Rattus norvegicus: one gene and its partner. The main gene of each other region encodes a partner of the protein of the gene in region 2 in a complex. Links are inferred from orthologs where the notes say so. Each region holds a gene or a part of one and is shown on either strand. Other genes may lie near its edges.

Region 1 (4,302 bases), on a different chromosome or scaffold from region 2:
GATCCAGTGTTTCAGAGACGAGTGGAGCCAGATCAATGTATTAAAGGGAGCTAATGAGATAACCCTTGCTGTTTTCTGGGCCACACAATGCTCGGCGAACAACCAGAGCCTACACCAGGGCTCCATGCTGTCTCCTGGAACACCCTTTAACTAGAGAAATGTCTGGCTTCTTCATGCTTACACTTGATTCATTGCCTCCTTCTGGTGAGAGCACTTTCAACAAGGTCCTGGGTGGGTAAGTCGAACCCGACCCACGTGTGCTACCTGCCCCGGGGCTTGTCTACCTTGTCATCTCATAGCTCCCTTCAGAATCTACCCAGTTTATAACTTTGATTTCTGTGAAAATATAACCCCTATATATAGGAATTTATACCGCAGTTAACACGCTCCTAATAAGCAGGTTCTGAGAGGTTTGGTTGGGAGGGACAGTTATTCACAGGAAGTTACTGAGGTTGAGGAAAGTTAAGTTGAAGAAGTAGCATGGGAGAGTGGGTTAGAAACCCCAAACCATTGTCTTGAAAGGTCTTCCTTTGATGAATGGCTAGTCTTCCTGGACATGGCTGACAGTGCCATTTTCTTGAGCTTAGCATACAAGGTTGGGTGGACAAGTAGGTGTGCATCCTTTGAAAAATTGTTTTATTTTTATTTATTTGTTTTGATGGTTGGCCCATTAATGGGGGGAGGTCTTTGTAGAGATATTCTAAGTAGTTCTGCCTACTTCCTGTCCTCACCTGTACCTTGTATCCTGTCTGCCTGCCAGATGCTGTTTCAACTTAAGCAACTTCAGGATTTCTTCCTTCTGACTTCTGAAAGTACTCTGACGTTAGCAATGTCTGGGTTGTGTTTGGGACATGACCCAGGACCTAGGGCTTCAGAGTTAGAGAAGCAAGGTCAGCTCTGGACAGATCAGGTTACCCAGCAAGCTCTGTGGCATTGGCCATTTATTTCTGTCCCAGGACTAGAAGAAACCTTGGACTTGGGCATCCTCTAGTGCTCTGTGTAGGATTACCTTGGTTGGTGGGGTTGGACGAGGATTCTAGGTTGAGAGTGGATATATGTTTGGTTGGTGTCTGTTAGGAACACACAGAAGTGCCTCTGACCACCTACACCCACATGCCTGTTTGGGAGTATGCTCCAATCCAAGTGCACTTGGTGCCACCATATATGCACCACTCTGCCCTGTGTCTCCATCGCCAGGGTGGTTCGAGAAAGTCATGAAGACCCAGGGCACCCCCTTCTGCAGAAGTCCACGTTGGGGAAACCGGGCAGGCCAGTGGCGGCAGCGTGCGGGGAAGCGCCCCCTGCCCCCTCTGCCGGCCGCTCTACCTGGGTCTAGATGTCAGCCGCGAGCTCCGAGCCAGCTAGCGAGCCAGAGAGGGAGCGGCGGCGGCGGCGGCGGCAGCGGCGGCGGCGGCGGCGGGCCGCGGGCGGCGGGGAGGGGAGGAGGCGAGGAGAGGGAGGGAGGAAGGGAAGCAGGGAGGGCGGGAGGGAGGAGAGGAGGACCCAGAGAGCGCCAGGCAGCTGGAGTTTTGCAGCGCTTGGCCGGGCTTCAATGCACAGCAGCAGCGAGCCGCGGCGGCAGCAGGCAGCCCGGGAGCTCCGGCGGCGGCCGAGCCAGAGGCGGCCCCGCTCCCTGCCCCCTGCAAACTTTGCTAGCAGTCCGCCCGGGGGGCCGGGGACGCGCCTGGGAGGCTCGGCTTGGACCACGGCCGCACTCTTGGCCGCCGCAGCGCTAGCCGCCGCCGTCGCTGCTACCACCGCAGCTCCGCGCCTCCCCAGGGAGCTGCTGGCGGCTTCCGAGGCCCCCCAGCCCCGGCCCCTGGGCACTGCCCGGCTAGTCCCCGGCCAGGGGTGGGAGCAACAGCGGCGCAGTCAGCCCTGGGCTGCCAGGGGGTGGCCGTCACTGCCCAGGGAGACGCGCAGAGGCTCGCAGAGCGCTCCCCGGCGGGTCCCCAACGTACTCGCCGCCGCGCCCGGGCAGCGGCCCGACCCGGCTAGCATGGGCGGCGCGGAGTGACGCCGCCGTGCCCGCTTGGCATCAAGGACATTCAGCCCGCGGGGGTGGGGACGAAGGGGGGCAGCCCCGCGTCGCCGCCGCAGCCCCTGAGAGCCACCGCTGTCGTTGCTTGGGCTCCGGGGCTGGATGGAGGATAGGGGTGCTTGGAATTGATCTACATTTTCTGACCTTTTTGTTGGACATTACGCCCACCTTGGACGCTGCAAGAGGAGCTGTCAAGCCCGGCAGGCTCTGATTTGGCCCCCTCCGTTTTTCTCTGCTGCTCGTGGCTTCCCCGTGCCTTGGTGGAGTATTTGCGTTCGGGGCTGGGGCTGGAGGAGGCAGCCACACGCGCGCACACGCACACGTTCAGAGGAGGGCGAGAGGCAGCGGTACAGGCACCATCTGCAGTGTCAATGCGGCGCTGGGGCTGAAGGAGGGAAACGCCGCGCTTCCAGGTAAGGAGCCGCCGGCCGGGCGCAGGGCCAGCTGGGCAGAGCGGGCGGAGGTGCCGAGTCCGGTCCCGGAGTCCTCATCTGCTCCGAGGCAGCCCACTACACACACACACACACACACACACACACACACACACACACACACACACGCAAAACACAAATCGCGTGCGCGCACACACACATACACACACACATGCACACACTGCGCTCACGCACCTGCCCACGTCCCACCTGGACACCCGCGTAGGTGCATCGCAGTCGGAGCAGGGATTTCCCGTGTTCTTCTCCTTTCCGGACCTAGACTTCTCTTCCCCAGGACTTTCAGGGTGGGATTCAGTTAAATGACTGACTCTCCTATCCAGCCTGGTAGCATGAGGGAGCGATTTTGCTGTTTCTAGTTCCTTTCATTTCCTAACTGGTTTTTATAAGACAGGAGAAGTCATGGGAGGTCTTACGAGACCCGCCCAGTGCAATTGTCCCCTTAGCTTTTTTTGAATACTCGGAGATTTTTTCCCCTTTCTTTCTTTTCTTTTTTTTTTTTTTAAATAGGAGAAAGGCAGAGAGATATTGAAAGGGCAGAGATCTAGAGATCTTGGTGACCGGGCGCCTGGGAGGAGGCCACATAGGCAACTGGGGCTGCAGTTCTGTAGGGCGGCGCATAAGGAACAGACTCTGCGATTCCCCGGTAAAGGCAGCACACACGCCTTTCCGAAGCGTGGCACTGCTTCCCCGGAATGCGCTGGGATTTCAGGCAGGGAGGGGCTTTGACATCAAAGCTAGAGGAGTGTTCCTTGTCTAGGGAGGATGCTGCGGTCCTTTAAGGAGGATCAGACCTTATTTGCGTTGCCAGTCACTGGTAGACAACAAGCAGACAGGGCTTAAGGGGCACATGTTTGCAGCCAACCCCTCACTTCCTTACCCTCTGTGCATGTGAGGCGACTTCCCCCTGTGCCTTTAGTTAACACCTGTCACATGTCTTTTGGGGTGTGTGTCTGAGAACACGAACTAGGAGGGAGAGTAGAGACGGATTTAGACTAACAGAGAAAGGACTGTGAATATGCCATATTCACTTTATAACGTATTTGGTCTACTAGTGTATCCAAGTATGATAGGCTAGTAGTGTAACCCAGAGTCTAGATCCTCTGAGTGCAGGATTGCTCTCCAAAAACCAATGGTTTAAGTTGTACTTCCCCAGAGCTCCCTGCCTCCACCACCCCACTTTCAGATCCTGTTCATTTTGAAACTTCCTAGAATGGATGAGGGTGGTTGAAGTTCCAAAGGGCTTTTTTATGGCTCCCTTATTAGAGTCTAAGAGAGACTTCCTTTGGGGCTCAATTTTTGCAAGGAGAAGAATAGAAGATTTAAATAAATCATTATTTCAGGCTTGAATACATATATAGCAAGTTTCTATGTTCCTATAGCTGTCCCTTTGTGGTATTTTGTGGTTGGTTGGCTGTTTTTGGCATCCTGGCAAAAATGGGAATTGTTTCTATCCTCTTTATAAGAGAGTAGATCTCACACACCCCCCAAGTCTTTGGCTAGGTTTGGGTGGAGAGCAGATGACCCAGGAGGGAAACTCAATTCCTGTTGTGTAGTGTAAGCTGCCCTTTGATTGACTGAAAAGGGTATAAGCCGGAATAAAGGAAAGCTCTTCACAATGGGGAGACCGCAGATCGCAAAGAAACATTATTTTCTTTTTAGGAATGGTGGGTGTGTACACGTCCGGCTGTACACAGGCATTCTTAGAGCCCTGCCAAGTGCAGTCAGCTTGTACAAGCACAGGTGACGGGGTGTCCACGTCTGACTTCTGGGCTGTGACAAACATTGGCACGTTTTGGCATGCACACACTT
Region 2 (3,511 bases):
GGCACAATGACTCTTTGAGCTAGTAAACTTCTTCCTGTGATTTATCGAAAATAAATAAAATAAAATTCTATGGAGCCTCAGGATTGGAAACAGTCCTGAGTCCTGTATTCTTCAATTTAAAATCTTGTCTAGCACACAATAACGTTCGTAAACATGTACAAATGAATGGCTCATCTGTGGTTGGCATTAATAGCCCCCCCTGGCTAGGTTGCTCAATGAGATATATTTGGTAAAACAATTATATAATTACTCATATGTGCATGTAAAGGCCAGAAGTTAACACCAAGAGTCATTTTTCAATTTCTTTTCATCTAAATTTTTGAGGCAGGATCTTTCATTGAACCTAGAACTCAGTGAGATTGGCTGGCTCAGGTGCTCAGGGATCTACCTGTAACTTCCTCACAGTGCTGAGATAACATATGTGTGCTACTGTGTTTGGGTTCTAGGAATCCCGGTACCTAGTCTATCTCAGGTCTTCAGCTTGTCTCCCCAGCCCTTTCAGAGCACTCTTTACTGGTATATCTAAGTAGGAAAAAGTTCACAAGACCAATGTCCATATAATTTCCTGTATCACTTAGCACATTGCTTTGTATATAGTACATAGCCAGTTAGGACTTGCTGGCCTGAACTGAGTTTTTTTTTTATTGTTGTTGTTGTTGTTTTTATTTATGGAATTTGTTCTTCTATCCCTGAAACAACTCCTTTTTGGTTTCAGCACTTGGGAGAGGAACACAGTATTACACATACTGTGTTAACTATAGGGGATGCACACTTGAATTGCCAGATAGCCATAGAAATGAGTAATTTACAAAAATAATCTCAGATGAACTATTAAACTATACGAATTTGCAGAGCTGCTGGGTATGGTGGCATTGACAAGGTTTCTTTATGTAGAATGAAAAGCAGAGCATTGTTCACTGTTTTTGCTCCTTCGGTGTCTTCAATTGATGGTATCAAATTATTGCCCCTTTAAGGATTACATATATTCAATGTATTATAATAATAAAAGACTTGTAAGTTGTAGAAAAGACCAAAACCCATTGCAGCCAACTGGCCTCCTTTGTCTTCAATTTGCCCAGCAGGCTTATCCCATTCTGTTATAATTAACAGACTATTATGTAATGATATAGAACAAAAGTTTCAGTGTAGCAAATGGAGCCTAAGACTAATTACTGTGCTATTACATTGTCATTAGCGATGCTATTTGTAATTATGGATCAAGATCTGGGGAATATGAATTGGCTTTCTCTGTCCGACTTTCATCTGTGGATTGTAGAAGGGCCTGACAACCCTGTTAGGCAGATCTCTGAATGGCCATTACCTGCCAAGTCACGTCGGCTAGAGCAGAGCCAGAAGTGGCTACTTATTTATTATGCAATGATGAATGTTGGTATCTGTGACTCATTGACAATGTAATCTTAATTAAATTCTCTGTGATCAACATGTTCGAAGGCCCACTGTTTTGTTTCCATGCTCAGATACCAGAATAGTCCAGATGTCTGAGTGTTCTACTCTCCATCAAAACGTTACCATAGGCCAGATGTGACTTCTAAGCTACAGTCTTTGGATTCTGGAGGTGTCAATCAGACTTTCTAAGTAGCTAGGTAGACAGGAAGTAAGTGAAGAACTGACCTACGTTTAGACCCTTTTATCCTGCATGTGAATTCTGGTCTAAATGACAAGGCAAAGTCTACCATATGCTAAGGATCCTGCCAGGGCTAAGGACTTGGTTCACTTCCAGCTCAAACCCATCCTTACTTGCACAGTCCTCCTGAGGAATGTGGTTGTTAATACTGATATCATCCACAGCAATCCCACCGAGGTTTCCTTTTCCGATTTCACCTTCAAAAATAACCTGAAAAAAAAAAGAGATGGTTTTCATGATATACTAAAGTTCTGTCTTCAGCATCAATGTTCACAAACACTCTCTCGGTGGAAGCTTTAGCATACGTTCATGAGACTGCATGTGAGTTAAATTCATGAGGAGATTGCACAAAGGTTAGTTACCCATTCTTCTCTACCAGTGGCAGAGATGATCCCGACCTCTGCGGTTTTCATAAGATAAACTTTAAAAGGAAAGAAAATATTTGGGCAAAAGGGATGGTATCTGTGATATCTCTGAAACGAGTAAACGTGATTTTTCTTTTCTTTTCCCAGCTGTCATCTAAGAGACAGTAAGATGTCACTAACACAAACATCACAGAGGCAAGAGTTGAGGGTGGTGAATTTCACACAGTAACCCAGTGTCCCAAAGGCTCCAGCGCTCACTTTGTAGAAGGGTTCATACCTGATACAGTTTCAGAGATTTGTGCAGCAAGACACGCCCTTCCTTCCAGTGGTCTCCTTGGTGCCCGACCACCATCCAGACCAGTTGATCATATTCCTCTGGCTTCTGGTAGTGCAGTTTGACCCTCAGTGTACCCACATGAGAGCCGGACATGTGATACCAGAAGGTCATGCAGTGGGCAGAACTCTGGGAATAGACCACAGGGCTCACCAGGCGGGCTACTTTGCCTTTCTGATTTTCATCAGCTTGGGAATAGATGAAGTTGCCATCTCCTGCTGAGGCAAAACTCTGTGTCAGGGAGACCAGCCAAATCTACAGCTCTTTTTTTCTTTCTCCTCTCAAGTAGTACCCATAAAACACATTCTCCTGGGTTGGGTACCAAGGAACCAAGCAGTGGAGAGAGCAGATGCAATTACTGGGAGCCCCATAGGCACTGGTGGCCTTGCTCAAAGAGGCTTTAAAGAGACTCTGGGTACTGTTTACCTGTATCATGGCATCACAGGCTACAAATTTTATCTGTCTTCATACTATCAAACGTAGTGTCTAAGCAGTCTATTTACAGAGTTTGAAGAAAGTGTCTGACTTTAAAATGTTTTTGCATATCCATGTACACTCGGATAACCTGGACTAAGTGAGATGTTGAACACTTTCCTCTTGGAAGGAACCTGCTGACCTGCTGGCTGCTTGATGTGTTATTTTTGCTCTTGCACTTTTCCAATACACATATTTATTATGTATATATGTTTATATTCTTGTGTGTATGCATGTGTATGTGTGTGCGCACACATGTATGCACATGCTTGCTTCTATAGTCAAGTGCATGCATGTGTGTGGGAGCTCATACTATGCTTGTAGAAGATAGAGAACAACTTTGGGTATTTTTCAGGTGCTAGCCACTTTGTTTTTTGAGACAGGGTCTTAACAAGTTACAACTCCAAAAATAGGATAGGCTAGCTAGCCAGAAAACTTCAGGGATATACCTGTCCTTAGAGCTAGGAAAATAAGTGTAAGCCACCACACTGGCTTGTTTGCTTTTGAATTTTAAAAGATTGATTCTAGGGATTGAATTTATATACTTGTGTTTACAAAGCAAGCCCTCCCCAACCCCCCTACCCCATGACTGAGCTACCTCATCAATCCTTAGGCATCTTTAAAAATTGTTTTTATTTTCCCTTTAGTTCACATTAATGGTCTATGGATTTCTCGAGTGTGCCCAAGAGTTTG

Evidence for each region. Proteins that work in one complex are often made in the same cells at the same time.
Region 1: the proteins of Nrp1 (region 2) and Plxna4 are in contact, whole or in part, in a cryo-EM structure (PDB 7M0R), measured with the Mus musculus proteins. The link is inferred for Rattus norvegicus from reciprocal best matches to the Homo sapiens genes NRP1 and PLXNA4. Residues at the interface, in NP_032763.2 of Mus musculus: Arg80, Tyr84, Asp126, Tyr127, Glu128; in NP_786926.2 of Mus musculus: Glu272, Lys340, Lys343, Lys345, Leu349.

Annotation. Positions count from the first base shown.
Region 1 is NC_086022.1:62,126,646-62,130,947, reverse strand, and holds the start of Plxna4 (plexin-A4 precursor), read left to right. Parts: upstream 1-1,502; 5' UTR 1,503-2,454; intron 2,455-4,302. UniProt on the Homo sapiens protein: Coreceptor for SEMA3A. Necessary for signaling by class 3 semaphorins and subsequent remodeling of the cytoskeleton. Plays a role in axon guidance in the developing nervous system. Class 3 semaphorins bind to a complex composed of a neuropilin and a plexin.
Region 2 is NC_086037.1:73,403,056-73,406,566, reverse strand, and holds part of Nrp1 (neuropilin-1 precursor), read right to left. Parts: intron 2,560-3,511; coding exon 2,288-2,559; intron 1,856-2,287; coding exon 1,759-1,855; intron 1-1,758. UniProt on the Homo sapiens protein: Cell-surface receptor involved in the development of the cardiovascular system, in angiogenesis, in the formation of certain neuronal circuits and in organogenesis outside the nervous system. Mediates the chemorepulsant activity of semaphorins.